Linked DNA regions of Caenorhabditis elegans. The protein of the gene in region 1 interacts with the protein of each later gene in a pairwise test. Each region holds a gene or a part of one and is shown on either strand. Other genes may lie near its edges.

The links.
Region 2: the proteins of prmt-9 (region 1) and lin-66 interact in a two-hybrid assay, tested with the Caenorhabditis elegans proteins (one large-scale study listed by BioGRID).

What each region holds. Positions count from the first base shown.
Region 1 is NC_003282.8:12,676,945-12,687,819, reverse strand, and holds prmt-9 (PRotein arginine MethylTransferase), read left to right. Parts: upstream 1-3,441; coding exon 3,442-3,610; intron 3,611-3,664; coding exon 3,665-3,942; intron 3,943-4,709; coding exon 4,710-4,819; intron 4,820-4,874; coding exon 4,875-5,133; intron 5,134-6,509; coding exon 6,510-6,811; intron 6,812-6,874; coding exon 6,875-7,040; intron 7,041-7,713; coding exon 7,714-7,930; intron 7,931-8,573; coding exon 8,574-8,926; intron 8,927-9,776; coding exon 9,777-9,902; intron 9,903-9,959; coding exon 9,960-10,022; 3' UTR 10,023-10,422; downstream 10,423-10,875. Other genes in the region: T23B5.6 (Transcriptional regulator), read left to right, coding at 10,618-10,733, 10,784-10,875.
Region 2 is NC_003282.8:13,884,539-13,895,530, forward strand, and holds lin-66 (GATA-type domain-containing protein), read left to right. Parts: upstream 1-3,550; 5' UTR 3,551-3,672; coding exon 3,673-3,811; intron 3,812-3,862; exon of another isoform or gene 3,863-3,883; intron 3,884-3,964; exon of another isoform or gene 3,965-3,985; intron 3,986-4,301; exon of another isoform or gene 4,302-4,322; intron 4,323-4,553; exon of another isoform or gene 4,554-4,574; intron 4,575-5,016; exon of another isoform or gene 5,017-5,038; intron 5,039-5,212; exon of another isoform or gene 5,213-5,250; intron 5,251-5,337; coding exon 5,338-5,606; intron 5,607-5,724; coding exon 5,725-6,005; intron 6,006-6,133; coding exon 6,134-6,281; intron 6,282-6,331; coding exon 6,332-6,736; intron 6,737-6,744; exon of another isoform or gene 6,745-6,768; intron 6,769-7,130; coding exon 7,131-7,587; intron 7,588-7,635; coding exon 7,636-7,820; 3' UTR 7,821-9,447; downstream 9,448-10,992.

The DNA.
Region 1 (10,875 bases):
AACCGTGAATTTTGGTAAAACATACATTATTACTGTATGCTGTAACAAAACCGTTCCAAACGACACAAATCAAAAAATGTTCAAAAATCGTAATACAACTACCTCCCCTCAATACTAGAAATACTAATAGTAACATTCGAGGGAAAACGGATGAGATAGGAGGTATTGTAGAGAGAAGAGAGTTAGAGGACGTGTGGTAATAAAATTATGCGTCGTCCTATACCTGTCACTGTTCTTCTTCTTATTCCTTTTACCACCTCTTCGGCAGCATGAATGGTAGTTTGCATAATTTGATGACCTCAAACAAGGAGGGCAGCCGCCTGCCACCTACACACTTTACACGGTTTCAGATTTTTTCGAAATTTTTGAAATTGTACTTGGTCTTGAGAATGAAAATATACAATATACACGTGGTGTCAGAGTGTCTCATATTCGCCGTAGATCTACGTAGATCTACAAAAAATGCGGGAAAAGAGACGCAGAGTTCTCACCTCATTTCGCATGGTTAAGAACGTGCTGTCGTCACATTTTTTTGAGCAAAGAATTCCCGCATTTTTTTTGTAGATCAGACCGTGATGGGACAGCCTGGCCCCACGTGCGTAAACGGGAAAACTCGAGAGCCAAAATTTTGAAGGGGTCTATATTTTCTCATTTAGATCTGCAATTTTCTGCCTCCCAAAATTAGAGTCTTGTCGTAAATTTTTTAGTTTTTGTCTTCATTCTTAATAATAGGCCCAAATTAAAAACGTCTTTACCACTGCTAAATCGATTAACAGTACAGAAAAAAGTCGAGTATGTAAGATATATCACGTAAAATCCAAACCGTACGAGATATATCTGGGGAATGTCAACTTATGTTTGACAATGTGCAAATACAAGTTCTTGAGATTGTTGCTCCGAGAGCCGAAGGGGGGGGGGGGGGTCAATTGATTTCTGATCGGATTTAGACTCAAGTGAGAAATTATGAAAACCAAGGGAAAAATGCATTTACAGCACCGATAAATATATTGAGCTGTATTTAATTTTGGGGTTTAAACGGCAAAATGTGCAATTTTTTTAGAATGTCAATCGATATACTGTGTATTTTCCCAAAACTACCGATTTTCGTAATGAGACGTTATGAAATTTTCTCAAAAAAAAGTTAGATGCGGTTCAAAGTTTGGCAAAAAAAGGCCAATTTTCAGCTAAAATCAAAATTTTTGCCAACTTCTCAGTGTCACACGCTGCCACGCCGAGAAGTTGTCAAATGTTTTGATTTTAGCTGAAAAATTGCCTTTTTTCCAGAACCTTGAACCGACATAATTTTTTTTTGAGAAAATTTCATAACGTCTCATTACGAAATTCGGTAGTTTTGGGTCATTTTAGGACTAAAAACGCAAATGCTCAGATTTCGGTACTCCACATTTAAAGTCGTAGAAGTGGAAATAAATACACAATATATTCTCTGAATCTGAATTCTTAGCCTAGTTTTGATGATGTAAAAGGCCGTGCAAGTTAAGAATACGGGGGAGTGACTCTAAAAATATACAAAAACGAACTTCTTCCTGCACTTCTTTTTTTTTTGAAAAAAGCGAGATCGTAAACTAAAACAAACAATACACATTTTTTTGCAAAACGCGCAAGTGTCAAATTTTTTATTATTTTTCCGCACGGAAACGCCTGATATGCGGAAACTATGCGAGCGAAAAAAAATAATCATTTGCGCGCATGCATATATATATTTGCAATAAGAAGCTAGACAATGCTCGTGGAATTGAAGAGACGCAGATTGTCAAATGATTCGAATATATACATCTGGCAGGTGGTTTCTCAAAGGAAAGACAGAGAGAGAGAGAGGGGACTGAGCACCAGATGTTGTCAGTTTTCAATGGACATTTATTGTGACAAGTGACCCATTGCCTAATTGAGGAGTTTACCCGTGTTCGGAGCTCAATAAACTTGCTCCGGATAAAGTTTTCAAAAAAAAATTGTGTGACTAACCATCGAATAATTGAAGGTTTTTGTGGTACGAGCAATGGTGTCGGGTTTTAAAAAATATTCGAATAAATGTTCCACATTTTAAACTTTAAAACTAATAAAAACAATTTTTTGGAACAATTTAGAAATATCCGGATATTATTGAAAATTTTGATCGTTTTTTGAAAAACGTCAAAAAAAGATTTTTTCCATCGAAATCAGAATTTTTTAGTAAATTTTATAGTTCAAACAGTAAATCAAAAAACCGTTTTTTCGAAAAGTTTCAGAAATGACCGATTTTGAATTCCTGAAAATTGGGTGATAATTTTAAAATCTAAAAAATCTAAGAAAAACCGCCGATTAAATAAATCATTGTGATTGCCAACGATAAAATACACTTTTCCCCGGTGACAGTTGACAGAAATGGTGAAAAGAAAACGGAAAAAGACCGAAATGAAGACGTCTCCCGCTGGGAAAACGACAACTTTTTGGCTGATTGACAGAAAACGGAACGAACGGAATTGGAAAATGAAAACTGAAAGGATAAGATGGGATAATAGGCATTTAGAGGTGAAGTTATTATTTCTGTTCTAGAGATCTTGGTCGTAAATCACTAAAAAGTCGGAATCGATCAAAGTGATAAAGAACTTTGAACGTTTTGTTACTCAGAGATGCTCAAACAAATATTTGTCACATTTTTCTATGCTGCTGGGAGAAAAAATTGTGAAAAAATACAAAAAATTAAGACTAATTTCAGAAAATTTTCGAAAATAAAATAAATACACGCAAGAAATGACTACTGTACTTCACTTTTCCCGCAATTTGACGTGATGTTGTTTGCGGATTCTGCATACACTTTCACGGCAAATTGCGGAATTTTAAAATTTTCCTATTTTTTGTTTTAATTTCTCTCCGTTTCTTTCGATTTTCTAGCTTTAATTCACATATTTAGAGTAATAATTCGTATTAAATATCTTAAACAATCGGAAAAAAAACGAGAAAAAACCTTTTGAGCTTTGAAATGCCGCGTTTCTGCCGTAGCCCATAAAAAATTCATTAAAAAACTTACGATCTACTAATCAAAACGGCTTCAAACACAAATGTTTCCGTTTCTCTCTCACTTTATCCCAAAACTGGACACCGATATACACTTTGAACAAAAAAGTACATAAATCGATAAGAAACCGGGTTGCGGAAGGCGTCAAGTTCATTTGAAGTTGTGCCGACACATTATGTCAGTTTTTGGGTTGAAAAAGTGTTCGGGGAGGTGAGAAAAATTGAAAAGCCCGCCGAAAATTTGCAATTTCGAGACGAGGGACTCGAAAAAAGTGTTTGAGGACGAGAAAACACGGAGGCACCCGAGCTAGGCCATGATTTATTTAAATATATTTTTCGAACGCTCCCAGCCCATTTTGCTCGTTTTATTCATTTATTTTAATGATTTCTAACCTATTTATCAATAAAAATGAAAAAATAAATTGTCAGATGGCCGAACCAGCACAGGAAACACCGTGCTTCTCAATGGAAAAGGCCGAACGGGCATTTCTCGATGGAAACTTCGAGGAGGCACTCAAACATTTCTTCGTCTGCATACGAATGCTACCAGTAGAACGACGTGGAGTCTATGAAGATCAGTTTGCTGCAGCTCTTCATGGTATTATAAGGAAAAACGTGTAATTTTCTGTTAAAAAAACTAATTTTTTTGCAGGCTGGATTGCGCTGGACCACAACAATGCTTCCCGGGCTGTCTGCCTTTATCCACAAATCAAGGAATTATTCCCGGAAACGATTCGAACGAAAATCGCTCTGATTCGTGCTGTACAAGGAACCGAGCAGAGTAAATGGCTTCTGAATTGCCTGCCGATTTGCAAAGATTCGATGGATTTGGCGACGAAACCAGAGGATTTGGTGGCTTTGAGGATTGCACGTGTCAATTTAACCACAATTCCATTCCCACAGTGGCATATTCGAATGATCAATGATGTGGTAATTAAAAACCGCTAGCATTGAATTTATTCCTGGAAAAAAATGTATCCAAACGGAATCGCAACAGCGAATTTTTAAGAAAATAGAGCTCAAATTCGAAATTTTTGAAGAAAAAGTGATAAATTCAGCTAAAATCTCAAATTTTGCTAATTTGTAGTTAATTTTTATTTATTTTGGTACACTTTCAGTCGATAGTTTCCCAAACACTGAAAATACACCTAGAATTTTATTAAAACTGGTAATAAACTACTAAAACATGCGGAAAAAGCAATAAAAACGAATTAAAGTCAGCTCAGACACGTAAAAAATGGAGAATTTGAAGACTTTATGCTAAATTTAGTTCTAGTAATGAAATTCGGACATTTTTAAAGAATTCGATACCCCTCATTTAATGCAAAAAAAAGTTAAAATTATTCAGAAACTACGTTTGATTGAGGAATAACGGATCAGAAAAGTCCCTCAAATTCAAAATTTCAAAGAAAAAGTGCTGAGTTTAGCTGAAATTTTCAATTTTGCCAGTTTGAAGCCGCCGAAAATCAGTTTTTATTGGATTTTCACTCTTCACCGAGTTTTTTCGTCGTTTAGTATCCCTAAATCAGCATAAAAACGCGTAAGAAACAACCAAAATATGCAATAAAAAGTGATAATTTAATAAAATCGAATTTAAATCCGCTGTTAAACGTAAAAATTAGCTGAATTTTAGGATTTTAGCTAAATTGAGCTTTAAAAATTTTAAATTAGTCTTTTAAACTGCAAAATAATTTCAGAAACGAAACGAAGCGTTTGCCAAAGCTCTAAACGACACTATCAAGAGCAGAATCACAGTTGTCTTCGATATTGGATCCGGTACTGGTATTTTATCGGCTATTGCTGCGAGGTAAGACTTTCAAAAAAAAAAATTAAAATTAAATTATAAATATTCTTTTTTCCAGAAAAACCAACTTGGTGACCGCTCTCGAAGAAAATATGTGCCTGACAATGATTTCTAAGGAGGTTTTAAAGAGAAACGGTGTTGAAAGTCGTGTTAATGTTCACGCAAAGAACTCGACATACTTTGAAACTTGTGAAAAAGCCGATATAGTCGTTTCCGAAACTCTCGATTGCTGTGTATTCGGAGAAAAAATTGTAGAGACTTTCTTGGACGCTCATGTTCGTTTTTCACATGACAGAACTATCTTTATTCCGCATCAGGTAACAATTTGGAATTCCGTATTTTCAAGAGAATTCTACGATGAATAATATGTTTTCTGAAAGCTAACAGATTGAAAATTCCGAATTCAGTATGAAATTTCAGTTAATTTAATTTTTTTAAATAAGAAGTACCGAAATCTGGGAAATATTTTCGAATGACTTCAAATTTTCCCCTCATTCTGAATATCTAAGTGAAAAAAATTCAAAAATAGTTTTATATTTCAGCTTAAAATCGCGAATTTTCATTTGCGTCCTCATGAGATATCCAAATTTTCGCGCCAGAGACGCCATGTGTATATTTACGAGATTTTCAATATTTATCGGATGATGATTTCAGTTTTTCAACGAGTTTCCTTCATTTTCGTCGGTTTTTGCCAATTTTTTTTTTGAAAATGTGTGTTCTTGAAGTCAATTAACCATTATATCATCAAAAACCTGACAAATTTTTCGTTTTTTGATGATATAATGTTTAATTAACCTAAAAACACATTTTCCTTTAAAAAACTTTTGCAAAAACCGACGAAAATGAAGGAAACTCGTTGAAAAACAAAATAAGCATCCGATAAAGATTGGAAATCTCGTAAATATACACAAATCTCGTAAATCGACACATGACGTCTCTGGTGCGAAAAATCGGCATTTGAAAATCTTGATTTCACGCTAAAATCAGGGAATTTTTTTGAATTTTTTCACATAGAATTCGGAATCTGGGGAAAATTTGAAGTCCTTTAAAAAAATATTTATAAGATTTCGGTGCTCAACCTTTAAAACGAATCGATCAGGGGTGTGCGGCAAATTTGCCGAATTTGCCGTTTGCCGAGCTCGGCAAATTTCAAAAAAGTAGATTTGCCGAATTTGCCGAGCTTGGCAAATTTCGAAATTTGCCGCACACGTCAAAAATTTGACAGTACAATTTTGACTAAAACTGTTGATTTTTTCGCCAAAAATTTAGTAAAATGACAACAAATTGAGTTATTTTGATGTTTAAGCAGACACACTACACCTAACTTGTTCAGAAACCAGAGGTGTGTTAAGAATTCAGTAGTTTTGGTGCTCCAAAAAATATCAAAAAATATATAATTTTTCCGAGTTTGTTAAGCACGGCAAATTTGCCGAATTTGCCGAGCTCGGCAAATTTTGAGATTTGCCGCACACCCCTGGAATCGATGATGGATCGGGGAGTTCTCGTTTTGGACGAAATCAGAGAAATTATTGTTATTCGGAATTTTAGAATATTTTTATTTTATTTTTAGAAGCGAAATTCCCATAATATCAAAATTGAAAAAGGTTTAGCTCTCAGAGAAATACAATTTGTTCTATAATCCTCTTGAAAGCATTCTGATTCCCTAATTTAATATAACTTTATTCATTTCCAGGCTACCGTCTACGTCCGTCTCTTCAGTTGTCGTGAAATCTTCGATATTCATTGTCAAGACTACGGAGGAGTTCGTTATCGATCCGAATACGTGAAAATTGGCGAATCAGATGCCGAACAACCGTACTGGTGTGCATCAGCTGCAGATTACTCTCAATTTGAACTTCTTTCTGGTTCAGTAGCCATGCATTCGGTCGATTTTAGCAGTATTGCCAATTTGAAGGATTCACTTGCCAACTCGAATTCTTTCAAAATTCGACCGGCGAAAGATGGAGTAGCACACGGATTTTCTGTCCATTTCACGTGAGATTTACTCTTTAAAAAACTTAAATTAATTTTGAAATATTCTAAACTTTCAATTTTAAGATCTGATCTAACTGGTCACGGAGACAATATCATTGACTCGTCAAAATCAAGAGCATGGGATCTTGGAATTATTCCATTCAAGGAACCATGTTTGGTGAAGTGTGATAAAGAATATGAAGGATCATGGAAACTCTTGAATAATCGATTGGATGTGTACAATGATTTTGTACGTTGTTTTTGTCGATTTACTCGATTTTGCACTTTTAAATGCAAGAAAAATTGATAGAGTTCGAGAAAATCCGATTTGAAATGTCGAACAGTTTTGGAAGTTTTACGAAATTTTTCAAAATTGAAATCTATAGGATTTCAGAGAAAATCAGAAAACTTCGGAAAAGAAAGAATCGAAGTACGAAAATTTTCGATTTTCCGGAAAACCAAAAAAAAAAAAGCAAAGAAAAATGCAGAAAATTTATATTAAAATTTAATATTTATCAAATTTTATTTATTTTGATTAAAAAAAAAAACATAAGAAAACAGATATTTATTCTTTAAAAAAATTAGAAAAATACCCAAATTTTAATATGTTTTCCGAAAAATACAAATTGTTTTCGAAATATCGGAAAAACAAGAATGTTTCGATTATTCGACTTTAGCAACATAAAAACCGTGCAGAAAAACGTAATTTTTCTGAAAATAAAATTATAAATCGAAAAAAAACTAAAAATTGTTGATTTTCCGAAAAATCTAATAAAAAAATGTTCAGAAAATCGAAAAACCGAAAATTCCGATTCCTTTTTTCAAAAATCGAAAATTTTTCGTTGTTCGATTTTGAAATTTCTCTAGGATTAAAAAAAAGCGAAAAGATTTCAATTTTAGAACTTTATAAAATTTGTTTTCAGTACGACGAAAATCTTCAAAAGCACGAGGACAGTCTTCGCTACGAGACCGCTTCACTGGATCAACTTCAGAAAATCCGTGATGATAGTTATTTCAAGGCAATGATGGGAGAAATTGATCCGATTGAACTTCCATTTACTCGTGATATTTCATCGAGTATTCCAGCTCAGTGTGTGCTTAATACTGTGGAAAGCCAAACGCCTATAAGGCATCTTATTAGTATGTCAGAAATTTTTAGAAATTATTATTTGATAATTAAACGCTCCTAAATTATGGAAAAGTCAATTCATTTTCGGAAATTTGAAAAAATTCGAAAAAAAACGTTTCTAAAAATTTGTTAGATTTTCGAAAACAAAAATCGATAAATCTTTTTGAAAAATCTATGCACTTTGAAAGTTCTAAAATAAATTTTCGGTGAAATCGACGAATTTCAGAGAAATTGAACACTTTTCTAGGAAAAAGAGGTACATTTTCATTAAAAAATGATAAATTTCGAAAAAAAAATTTGAAAAATATCTAGAAGCAATCGATAAATTTTTTGGAAAAAAAAAAATTTCAGAAAAAACCGACTCATTTTCTGGATAGAAAGAAACAATTTTAGAAGAAAAAAAATTGATTGATTCTCAGAAATTTTTTAAAAATATCGATTAATTTCCGGGAAAAAATTTTTTTTCAGAAAATTTCTTTAAAAAATCGATCAATTTTCTGGAAAAAAAAAACATTTTCAGAAAAAAGCGATAATAATTAAAAAAAAAAAGAAATTTTCGGAAAAAAAAGATTAATACTCAAAACGAAAATTTTAATCGAAAAATGTTCGAAAAAAATTTATTAAAACTCCGAATTAACTTTTACTTATTTGCAGCTAACTTCTGTCGCTACGACGGTACATTGGATCAAGAGACATTCTTCCGAATAGAAGAATTCGTTGGATTCCGAGATCACGTTCAAAAGATTGTTCCAACAAAATTCCGTATTCTTGGACATCTCTTCTATTCAGATAGAGTTCATTTCGATGCTCGACCAGATCCTTCAGCTCATTGTCAAGTCGATTTGAGTACTGTTCGAAGTTTTAATCTTCGAGAGATGCGTGATATTAGATTAACTCAACGAGAAGATATTGTGATGGCTTCGAAGGAATTCGTGTTATACGACTTTAATATTAGCGCTGAAAAGTTCCGACAGGACACATATATCACTGTAACACAGGACGTTACGGTAAGAATAATACCTATGATTGCTGAATAAATTTAGAAATAGCCTTGAAACACGGAATTTTATAATGAAACATCTGCTAAAATTCGAAGAAAATTTTTTGCGGCTCAAAATTTAGGAAAAAAAAGACTAAACCTCTTAAAATTTAAAGTTTTGCTAATTTTGTTGCAACTGTCGTAATTTAATTTTTATTACTTTCGATTTTATCCTTTTTGCAGAAATTTAGCGTTTTTTTCGTTGATATCGGGGACTCTAGGGTTAAAAAAAAAGACAAAAATCGGAAGAAAAAATTTCCGGCAATTTCGGCGATTGCCGGTTTTGTGAATTTCCGGCAATTGGCAATTGCCGGTTTTGTGAATTTTCGGCAATTACGGCAATTGCCGGTTTTTAAGATTTCTGGCAATATCGGCAATTGCCGGTTTCGAGAATTTTCGGCAATTTCGGCAATTGCCGGTTTTCAAAACTTCCGGCATTTTTTAAATTGCCGGTTTTGAGAATTTCCGGAAATATCGGCAATTGTCGGTTTTCAAAAATTCCGGCAATTTCGGCAATGGCCAGTTTTGTGAATTTTCGGCAATTCCGGCAATTACCGCGTACCCATGTTGTGTAATAGATTTTTAAAATAGAGTTTTTGAAAATAATTTTGGATTTTTTTTGAAATTTTCTGTAAAGTTCGAAAAGGTTTTTTTCTAGAAGCTGAAATTCGACAACAAATTTAAACCTTTTTTTTTTCAGAAAATCGAAAATTTTGACTCTTCGAATTTTAGGAAATCTTGTTTCGAATTTTAAGCGAAAGTTATTTATTATTAATTTATTATTAAGCCAACATTCAAATTTAATTTTTTTTTTTCAGGTTCAACCAACTCGCCCCATCGCCGACGGTGTCATCTATGAATTCGAAATCCTGGGAATCAGAAACACGAAACTTCGTCCGGTTGCCGCGTTCCTTTTCCCGGAAAGAGTGAATACTAATCCAGATGTACGGGTTTTTTTCCACGAAAATTGATTTATTTAAATTAAAATCGTTCATTTTCAGATGACAGTGGTATTCGATTTGCATCTCGGTGAAATGCTCATCTCGCTCAAAGATCTTCCATAAATTGTCGAATTTCTTCAATTTCATCAACAGTTTCTCACAAACAATTCAACAATCGATATCAATTAATTCTATTTTTTTCTAAATTTTCTTACTTATCTAAATCTCGGACCCCATTATTTCCCTTCTTTCCAAAATTTTTCTCATTGCACTGATAATTATTAAGGCTGGGTTTTCTTAAAATTTTAAAATTTAAACTCAAATTCACTCCCAAATATTGTAGGATCTAACTATTCCACTATTCTGTTAAATTCCCGATTCCTCCAACTTTTCGTTGCCTTTTCTATTTATTACTTTTTTATTTTATTTGTTGATACCTTTGATTTGAATCAGCTACTACCTGAATGATTACTTTCTTTCAATACCATTTCTCGTTAAAACACGCAATAAATCTCAGTTTCTCAATACCTTACGCAGAAATAGTGAAGAAAAAAAGAACAAAAAGCATGATAAACCGTGGAAGAAAAAAATTTTAAAAAATCGTGGCTACGTGATGATGTAGTACATCTTGATAAGCGTGGCTATATTAGGGCAGATTTTTTGACAAAATTTAGTTTCAATCGTTGGCAGTGGCATTGGCTGGTGGTGTTCGAGCAGCATGGCGGACAAATTGCTGTTGGCGGATGTCGGGTGGCGGTCAGCCAAGGGGATGGTCGATGGAAGATTGGAATCGGCGATCGTCAAGCGAATTGTGCACGGTGAAGCACCAAAAGAGTGAGTTTGCTTGTTATATAAAGTAACTCATTTATCTTGTCACAATTCAGTTTCAATCTTTGGCAATGGTCGGAGGTCGGAGGTCGGTGTGCGGATGGATTGGTGAGCGGCAGCATCGGGAAGCCGATGGAGGGCGATGGAG
Region 2 (10,992 bases), 1.2 Mb from region 1:
GATGGGTCTTACCACGATGGGTCTCATCACGACGGGTCTCACCACGGTGGGTCTCGCAACGATGAGTATCACCACGACGAGTCTCACCACGATGGGTCTCACCACGATGGGTCTCGCCACGACGGGTATCGCCACGATGGGTCTCACTACGGTGGGTATCGCAACGATGGGTCTCACCACGATGGGTCTCGCCACGATGGGTCTCACCACGATGGGTCTCACCACGATGGGTCTCGCCACGACGGGTCTCACCACGATGGGTCTCGCCACGATGGGTCTCACCACGATGGGTCTCACCACGAAGGATGACAGACCCCGCCCACAATTCTCAGTGACTTTGGGTGTGACGTCACAGACTACAAAGACTACATAGACTATTTTTAAATTGATATTTATTTATTTAATTAATTAATTAATATTTTTTTATTTATTTAATTAATATTTATTTATTTATTTAAATAATATTTATTTATTTATCATTTACTATATATAAAGCGCGTGTCCTTCTGTCCCTATGTAGTTTGATCTTTGATCAGAGCAACGAAATTTTGGGAAACCTTATGTTAAGTGCGCAGCAGACATCGATCGAGGTCCGCGATAGACACCGTATATCTAATGTGTTTTCTCAAAAAGTCGGGGGCCCGTCGTAGGTGCGGTCCACGGCTGGTAGAACATATAGTTTTTCCTGTGGTTTTCCAAGAGTTCTGGGGAAATGAGACGAATTTTGTGCGAAAATTCAGGTTTTTTTGAGTTCTTAAATCCATCGTGCCGACACCCAACTATCGAAGTTTATTAAATTTTCAACAAAAAATCACTAAATTGTCACTGCGAGACCCGATAAAACCCACCCGGCAGTCCCAATTAAAATCAATTTTTCCGTTTCACTGGATTTATAAAATATGTTTCTCGAAAATTACTATTTACTGGATTGATAAGATGCAAGAGTGTTTCTAGAACAGATCGGATTCAGGTTCTGGCACGAAAAAAATTTTCTAAGCTACAGTACCCATGAGTACTGTAAAAAATTATTTTTATTTCTTTATGTTCAGTAATTTCTAAAAGTAAAAAAAAACATAAAAACGTTATATACTTTCGTGTGATAAGATCTAAGAGCAAGCGTATTGAGAAACCCTGCAAATTTTCTACCGTACTCTTGGGTACGGTAGCTGAAAAAAAAAGCGCTCGTTGCGAGACCTCAATCTGCAATTTTTCAGCGCTGCTTTTTACAGAAAAATAATAAGCTTCCATTTGCAACTCGTCTTCGGTATTATTATATTTCAAAAATAATGAAAAATTGCAAAATATTAATATTGGGTACTGTAGCTGCAAAGTTTCAATCGTTTCGAGACCCAGTACCGTGCTTTTTCTTCAAAAATCGCCAACTTGCGCATCTGAATAATTCGTTAAGCGCCTTTAAACGGGGATTACTGTTTTTTATTACATATTCATTTTCCGTGTTCCCAAAAAAATTTAGCAGCAATATAATTGATTAAATTAGCAGTAGTACAAAAATTTGAAACAAAAACCACAAAAAGTCGTTGCGACACTCGATAAAACCCGCCCGGCAGTCCCAATTAAAATCAATTTTTTTCCGTTTCACTGGATTTACAAAAAATGTTTCTCGAAAATTACAACAATAAAACGAGAACTGGCATGATACTTTTGAAAAAAAAATTCTCAGCTACAGTACCCATGAGTACTGTAGAAATTTATTTTTATTTTTGGTTTCTTTCTGTAGTTTTTGATTTTCAGTTATTTCTTGGGGTAAAAAAACAAAAAAATATTTAATTTGGTGTGAAAAGAGGAAACGTATTGGGAAACACTACAAATATTCTACCGTACTCTTGGGTACGATAGCTGAAAAAATTTCGCTCGTTGCGAGACCCCAATCTGCAAATTTTCAGCGCTTCCGCTTGCAACGCGGCTTCGGTAAAATTTTTGAAAATTTTAAATACAAAAACTACATATGACTTTATTGAAAATCTTGAAAAAGGCCAAATTCCTTTTTAAATAAACGTGGAAAATTGCGAAATAATATTTGTGGGTACTGTAGCTGCAAAGTTTAAGTCGTTTCGAGACCTACTACCGTGTTTTTACTTTAAAACTTGCAAACTTGTACATCTGAGTAATAGCGCCTTTAACCCCGGATTACTGTAGTCTATATTTTATTACACATTCGTCATTTTCCGTGCTCCCAAAAAGTTTAGCTACAATAGAATTGATTAAATTAGCAGTAGCACAAAAATTTGCAACAAAAATCACAAAAAGTCGGTGCGAGACCCGTTAAATCCAGTCCCAATGGAAATACGATTTTTTTTCCGTTTCACTGAATTTATAAAAAATGTTTCTCGAAAATTACAACTGGATTAATTTAATAAGCAGTGCGACATGAGCAAAATTTTCTGAGCTACAGTACTCATGAGTACTGTAGGAATATATTTTTTGTTAATTTTTGGTTTTTTTCTTCTTTAGGTAAAAAAAAACAAAAAACTATTAACTTTCATGTGAAAATATCAAACGTATTGGGAAACCCTACAAATATTCTACCGTACTCTTGGGTACGGTAGCTGGAAAAAATTCGCTCGTCGCGAGACCTCAATCTCGCATTACTGTATCTTATTACACATTCGTCATTTTCCGAGCCCCAAAAAAAGTCCCTAACAACATTTCGCAACTCTAGTACTCCTTATCACTTGAAAAAAAAATAGTAGACTACATCTTATCAACATGTTTTTTGGTTACTTGACAGGTATACTGTAGTAGTGCAGTAGAGCGCACTTGGCTGCGTGGAGGGACCCAGGACCAATTTAAAGCTTGTGAAGCGAGGATAATCCTTTGATGACGCTTCTTCTTCTTCTTCACATGCATATTCATATATTTTTATAGACTATTCTTCTGCTGCAGTACCCTTTCCTGTGTGCTTATTGATTTCCTCTCTCTCTCTCTCTCCATCCCTTTCTCTCTCTCTCAGTCCCCCAATAGATAGATAGACCGGGCCGGGGTGGGCTGAGTGGGTTGTGTGTTGCGTTGCTGGCTCACCCGAACGAAAATGAGGGTGAGTGCGAGAGAGTGCGGAGACGCAGACCTGGTGTCCCTCGGGCACGCTCGCGCACACATATACAGAGTGGTTAGAAGAGTCGTAGACGCCGAGACAGAGAGATCACTACTCTCCGATGAGCGTTTTTGCGCGAGCGAGCGTCCGTGAGCGTGAGTGTTGAGCGGCGGGCACTCTCTCTCTCTTTCTCCTTTCGGGACACAGCGCACATCTTCCCGTCTTTCTCTGTTTTTCTCTAGCTGTCTCTCTCACACGATGCACTCTCCCTCTCTCTCACTACACACAACCCCCATGTTGTTTCTTTTCACATACTTTTTCTCCGTCTTCTCCCCTATTTTTCGTTTTATTCTTCTTATATTTCTATTCAGTTTAGTTTTCATACATATATTTTTGAGTGCGTATGTTGCTGCCCAAATTCTGTTCTTTTACTTTTTCCTTCTAAGTCATCTCCGATCCTTAACCAACTACTCTAATCTAATCAAATCAGTATTCCAGTATTCTCGAGGCACCGAGGATCCATCACGTCATCCATCCCGAACGATCGATCGACGTGTTGTGTTGTCTGTGGTGTGTGAATCGACGCGACGACGAACGGACTGAAGACAGCTTGAAACGGGATGTCTTACGAAATGAATAGTCTCTTCTCGTCGAATCAGCAACCACTCGGAGGGGGACCACCACCTCAACAACAATCACAGCAGCAGCAACAGCCACCACAGTCGTTATGGTCACTCCAACAGTTTTCGCAGATGGGAGGTAAGGAAGCACCCCACCAGTACTCAAAGATCAATATCGATCCGAGCCCCCGATTGTCTAGCTCTAAGTTCAACAATACCTCTCCTACAAGGAAGGCTTTAGTGTGCATCGTATAACGGTACTGGATACGATAACATATATAAAAGTTCATATGCAAATCTTTTAAAAGCGTTAATATGTTTGATTCTTAAGCTTCTGCTTTATAACCATTGTGAAACAGTACTTTTTTGTTCGTGTGCACCATAGGACTAAAGGACTAGAGTTACTATAAATGTACTCCTAGATACCCAGGTTTTCTAGGTTAGACCCTTTAAGGAGTACCGTAGATTTTTAAGAGATCTCGTGTTGTAGTCTTTACAGGATCCGCTTGACTTATTGGTTACTGTAGAGGTACTCGAATCACGGTACTGGATACGTAAGCATATACCGTATTTCGTCTATTAATCGTGATCTCTTTTAGTCTTGCATGCAATACTAAAACAGGAAATTCGGAATTAAATTGGACCAAACAATATTTTTGATTCTCACGCGTTTGCTTTATATCCATTGTGTAACAGTATTTTTTCTGATAATCTAGGTTCACGGGACTAGCCAATTAAAATTATAAAGGTACTCCTAGGAACCTCAAGTTTTCTACGGTAGACCCTTTAGAGGCAGCCGTATCATTTGTGAATATTACGGAATACGGTAGATTTTCAAGAGATCTGGTACTGTAGTTGTAGGATCCGCTCGACATTTAAGGTTTTGTCGGAATGAAATGGTATTACTTTTCCTTCCTACCTGTTAACCTTTATAGATATTATGAAGCAATATTTTGTGAGGGGCCGGGTCCCGCAGCGAAATCATATTTTTTAATAAAAATGTGATTAGCATTACATGCCCCTGTAAAACGGAACCTTACGAAGGCAATGGGTAGTGCAAATGCACTCTACCGAACCAGGTTGCAGTGACTACAGTTATACGGCACACAAATTGCGTACAGGGATCACTTCTCGAGCACCTTGTACCCACGGCCATCATATAACTTCTACGTACCTTAACCTACCGTAGTTTCAACTTTGTGCATTGTGTCAAATGCCTAGGACGCTTATGATTACGCAATTTTTAAAGTACGGTGAGCAATTAGAGGGGACCTAGAATAAATTCGAAACGCACTCCATTTTATAGTTTTAACTTCCATTTCACCCTCCATTCAAATTTTTTCTAGAACAACCTACTAATTGAAAACTGAGGTAAATTTGTCAGGTGCCAATATTTCCGTTAAATTTGAAACAGTAGAATTGTAAACTAATAGTAAAAAGTTAGTGTTCAAACATTCGATCCCGTACCGTAACCTATCGTAGTTTCCACGTTGGGTACTATCAGCGAAAAAACCTAAGATATTCATGATTAAGCAAAAATTCAAAACGAAGTGAGCTCGCATTGCGGGTTCATAATTAATTTTTAGGTTTTAATATTTTTTAAAAATCAAATAGTTGAAACTGCAAAATTTTTTAATTTTTCTCCCAGACATCAGTTTATTTCAGCCCCGGACAACTTTGGGAACCACGCGGTCCCATTCATGCCAACACTCGGAATGCTGAATCAGTACCAGAACCCACATCCACTTCAGATGGTCCCTCCACAGCCTCTCGTCACTCCATCCCAAGTCCTTCCACCGTCTATGGCTGAACAACAGAGAGCCGACACCATCCATGGATTCGGAGTGTTGACTTGGTTGTCTGCCAAGGCTGGTCTGATCACTTGCAAGGACAAGATGATCATCTCGTTCCAGCTCAAGGACTTTTGTGATCAGGTTAGTACAAACCCTTTTCGATTATAAAGTACCTTATAAAATTAGCTAATCTAATTACCCATATGATCTCTATGATCTACCAAGGTTAGCCTCACTTCAACATCTGACAAATTTTCAGATGCTCAATGACTTGACTTCCGTGCTTCGTGTTGGTTTCACATTGTCGTTCCACGCTGCACTCAATGAGACAAGCGAGTACACCGCCACCATTGTCTCACCAATCTATGGTCCCGATGCTGATGTTCTCTTTGCAAACTCCCAAGAAGTCGACCTAGAGGCGGCAAATCCAACTCCACCAAACTCGAAGGATGCCTACTCGCCGGCTCTCGAGCAGAAGGCGATTCCAGCTCTCTTGGCAATTTTCCAACGCCACGGATTGCAGCAGATTCAGCTGAGCAGGTAGGATAGATGTTTTGAAAGTTGCTTGATTGCTAAGTTTCGCTCTTTTGTGCCTCCTTTCTATATATTAACTGACCATTCCCTTGCTCACCTTATTTGTTCGACGGCATCTCCATGACACCCTTCAGGAGTTTCAGCCTTCACTCTCAAATGTCCAACTGTGGGGATGATGAGCTATTCCGTTATGTTGGCACATCATCGTTGAAGCGTCGTCAATTCGTGGAGCGTCGTACTCATCTCTTCCGTCTTCAAAATGATGACTCCATCATTCTTCAGGTAAGCAATTCTTCAGAAGATTTAGATATTCTAAATCTATTCCATTTCAGTATCCAGCAGTGTATCAAGCTGTCTACCAATTGGCATCCTATCTTCTCCGTCGTGGTGGAGCCACATCAATCCAGTCGCTGTTCGACTACTACGGTAGCCCAGACATCATGCCAGAAGTTCGTAGCCATACTGGAGAAGGACGTCAGGACTTCCTCAACCTGCTGACTGCTCACAACTGGGTCTTTGCTCTGTTCCCCAACCGCACCTATGTCTCTGTTCGTCGCAATCTGCCAAACTATGACTATGTCGGATTCATCAAGCAGCACTTCCAAGAAATGGATATTACTCGTTCCCAGCAGATGGCTTACGGACAGCCACCACGTGGAATTCAGAGAACCATGTCGGCTCAGATGGGCAGCTCGTTCGCCACTGGAAGACCACAGAATTTGCTCATGCAGCATCAGGTAAGTATATCCATGATTAGATTAACAACGTAGCGGTTTTTTCCAAAATCACAAAATATTTCACAAGATGATGAAACAGTAGTTATCACTTTCAAATAGTTGAGTTGTGAGGTGAACACTGCAATGCCGTAGAGCTTTGTCGTGCTTGATCAAAAGACACGAATAGTTCTAGAATATCTGTAGCGCTGTAATTTTCAGGAAGCAAATTTTCTGGGGCCACAGTAGATCACCCATCGTTCTACTTTGACAGCCTATATCTCGGGTGTCCTTAGCTTTATCAAAAATTGTTCAACTATAGCGCAAACTTTTGTAAATTTCACAAATTCGTAACTTGACCATGCTCTTCACGTGCTGAAAATTCAAATTTCTATAAACAAAACTACATCTTTTTCAGCACGCCATGACTCCAGCAGCGACCCGCTCGGGCTCCCTCTGGGACTCTCAATCTTCCCTCTCTCAAAGCGGAAACAGTGGAGACCAATGGAGCCCTCTCTTCTCCCCAAGCACCTGGTCGAACAACACCAACGCGAATCCACGTCTCACTTCTCTTACTCCGTTGAGCTCGATGAACGAGACGCTTCTCTCGGGAGTCAACTACAACTCGTTGCTCGCCATGCCGCCAAGCGCCAAGAACGAGAGAAGCATTGGTGTTCAGGCTGATGACTTTTTGGATCGTATGTCTTACAATCCAATTGGACGTACCGGATGCACTTGTCAGTGCCAGTGTGGAAGAGGTGGAGCTGCGATCATTGGAAACACTCGTGGATCCTCTTCCAGAGCTTCTGGAGGATCGGCAAGCCCACCAAGTGCTGACGGTGCCAGCCAGATTGATCGTTTCTCGCCATCCAATCGTAAGTCAAAACTACAATGGGAACTAATTATAAATTTACAATTTTTAGATGCCGGATCAATTGGAGACCGTACTCTTACCGCCGCGGCTCTCGGTGTCGGCCTAGTCGACCAACAGCCAGCAGCCCCAAACCACGATGGTAGTGCTAACCAACCTCAGCGCTACTATGACCCTTTCGGAACCGCCGACTTGCTCAACGGCACCCGTTTGAACTCACTCCGTATTGGTAACTGAGTGATTGTACATACCAAATTTCTTTGTCATACTTCATACCCCATTTTTGATGTTCTTTCGTTTTTTGCTTTTCACCGAGTCTAAACCACACACATATTCACACGCAGTAATTCTAAGTCCCCACCCAACTCATCATCAATCTCTGTTCTCAAAAAATGTTTCTTTCCCTGTTTTTTTCCCTTGAAAAAGTCATCCCATTCACACTCCTCTTCCTCTTCCTCCCTCATTCAAACATGTAATTTTATAGCCGAACGGGTTAGTCAAAGACGCTTGTGCTATAATATGAGATACTTATCAAAATGTTTTTTTTCCGGCAAACCTGGAAACAAGTCGCGTAGAACTTTATCGTTCGGGTTTCGTGTTTTCTGGTGATTTAGTCAGTCTTTTTTTTATTTACTGTTTCTGAAAACACATTTTAAATTTCAAATTTCAAACCCCCATTTCACTTACACGTTTTTGTCTTGCCTTCACTTTTTCTAAGTTCCCCAAAACAATTTTTTTTGCAAAACCTACTCTCTGTGATTCCATTATAGGCAATTTGATAGATAGTGTTACTTACTAGTCATTCTCTTTTTTTCTCTCTCTCACTCACTCAAAAAAAGCTGTGTTACAAGTGCAAAACTCCTCCACTCCAACTCTGGGATCCCAATTTAACAAAAATTCTTGTATTTTCATTCAAAATAATTCGGTAATTCTATGTCTCTCGCTCTCTCCCTTAAAACAGTGATTTTGGTGCATTCATTCAGGTATTTTCACACTCTTTGATCGATTCACACCCACACCCACACACACCACTCCCATTTCTGTCGCAACCCTGTTACGTGTAAAAATTTGCAACCATCCGAATATACATCTATTGTAAACCTGTAAAACCCTACCACAACCCCCCGTACCGTAGAAATTTCAAAATTAGTACTACTTTGGAAAGCGCGACCCGGGAAGCGTCGGCTGCAACACACAGAGCGTTGCTGAGGCTATAGCTGTGATGCGCGCAACTCGGAAAGTGTCGGCTGCAGCACACGGAGTGTGAGAGCAGTTTTCCATAGTAGTTCTTCCCTTAAAACATTTTAAAAAAGTAAAAATCTTCCAAAAAAAAATTAGTCAACTAAATTAGTAGTTTGATGAGCTCTGGTCTTCCTCCATTCACCTCTCTCATTCACACTCTCTCTCTCTCACCTTCTCTCTATGTCTTTCCGTCTCTTGAACACTGTACGCGTCTCAATTTCCAATGATCTGTTTCCCCCCAAAAAATATTTGTCGAGGCTATTACCCCCTTTTTTATTTTTATTTTAATGTTTCAATATATCTTTAAAATCCACCACCATCCTTTGCAATATTATCTTTAAATATCACCTTTTTCCATACCATGTTTGCCTTTTCAACTCCCCTTACTTTTTTACAAGTTGGCTCTCACTCGTTCATTTCTCACCCCCTGTTTGGTACCTGTTTAAACGAAAGTGTCCTTTTCTCTCAACACAAACCACTGCAACTAAAAACCCCAACCCATTCACTCGAGTTTTCCACGATTGCACACGATTTTTAATTTGTGTATCATAATGATTTGATTGTCGGAATTCTTTTTTTTTCAAATGTTTCTCATTATTTTAATAAAACCCCACAAAATCGGATTTTATTGATTCATACTCCACCATCAAAAGTGTATTCAGAAAAATATGAAAATATTTTGCAATGGGTTCATCAATGGCCTCAATTCCAGTTTTACAGTAAAAGAAAATAGACATTTAATTTTAGTGATTTTTTTTCAAAATTCTACTGCTTCAATAATAAGATTTGTTTGTATTGTGGTTCAATGTTGATTCTATGCGAGATCATCTTAAATTAAATTTTAAAGGCTAGGTATATTTCGCAGTCAATTATACAAAATAACATTGTGGAAAACCTTTTTTTGGGGATATTTTTTAAAAATCTATAGGTTTTATAAAAATTCAATTTTACTTGTTTAATTTAGTACTGAATTCATCCAAATTTATTTCGGGTTTTCAAATAATCTAGCACACTTTGAGCAATTTTTCGTAGTCCAAGAAACCAAAAAAATTAGAAAAAAATAATTTTAATAGTCTCATCGAAAGAACGAGGGAACGTACATAATTATTCAGTTGTAGTAAATTTATCGGATAAAATTACTGTTTCATTAACAAAACAGAACACTGTTATGGTCATGTTCAATCTCTTGCAATCTCGTGACTTCCTGCAAAAGTATGTAAGAGAAAAAGTTTAAAAAATGTTTAAAAATTGTAGAAAACGTTAAAAAATATAAAAATATTTTCAGGTTTGCTCGTTCTAGTATTCAATTATGCTCTTGCAGTACAGTCATAATTCTATCAAATGTTTCACATTATTTTAATAAAAACCCACAAAATCGGATTTTATTGAATCATGTAGAATTGTCAAAAGTATATCCAGAAAAATATTAGCATATTTTGTTAAGGAGTCATAATGCCTCAATTCCTGGGCCCAATTCCAGTTTCACAGTGAAAGTAAATAAACATTTAATTTTAGTGAATTTCTCAAAAATTCTACTGTTTCAATAACCATGTATAAGAAACCGTAATAATGGTTAAATGTTTCATGACTCAATTTTTTTTCAATTTTCTTAAAGAGCAATGTGGAAAATCTTATTCGGGGATATTTTTTAAAAATCTGTGAATATAGATTTTATAAAAACTTAATTTTATTTCTTTATTTTATTACTGAATTTCTTCAAACTTATTTCGGGTTTTAAATAATTTAGCTCATCTTGAGCAATTTTTTATAGTCCGAAAAAAAAATAAAAAATTAAATTTTGATGGTAACATCGCAAGAACAAATATTCAAGTTTTACAGTGAAAGTACAAAATTGTTCCATATTTTTGGGTTTTTTTACAAACATCTGTGGATATAGATTTTATAAAAACCCAATTTTATTTCTTTAATTTAGTTAGTACTGAATTTTTCCAGATTTATTTTGGGTTTTCAAATAATCTAGCACATTTTGAGCAATTTTTTATAGTCCAAAAATCCAAAAAAAATTAAAAACTAAATTTTAATGGTCACATCACAAGAACGAATATTTCAGTTTTACAGTGAATGTACATATTTATTCAAATATAGTAAATTTACCAGAAAAATTCATAAAAACTGCTAAGTGTGATCATGGATATTGTTGATTCGT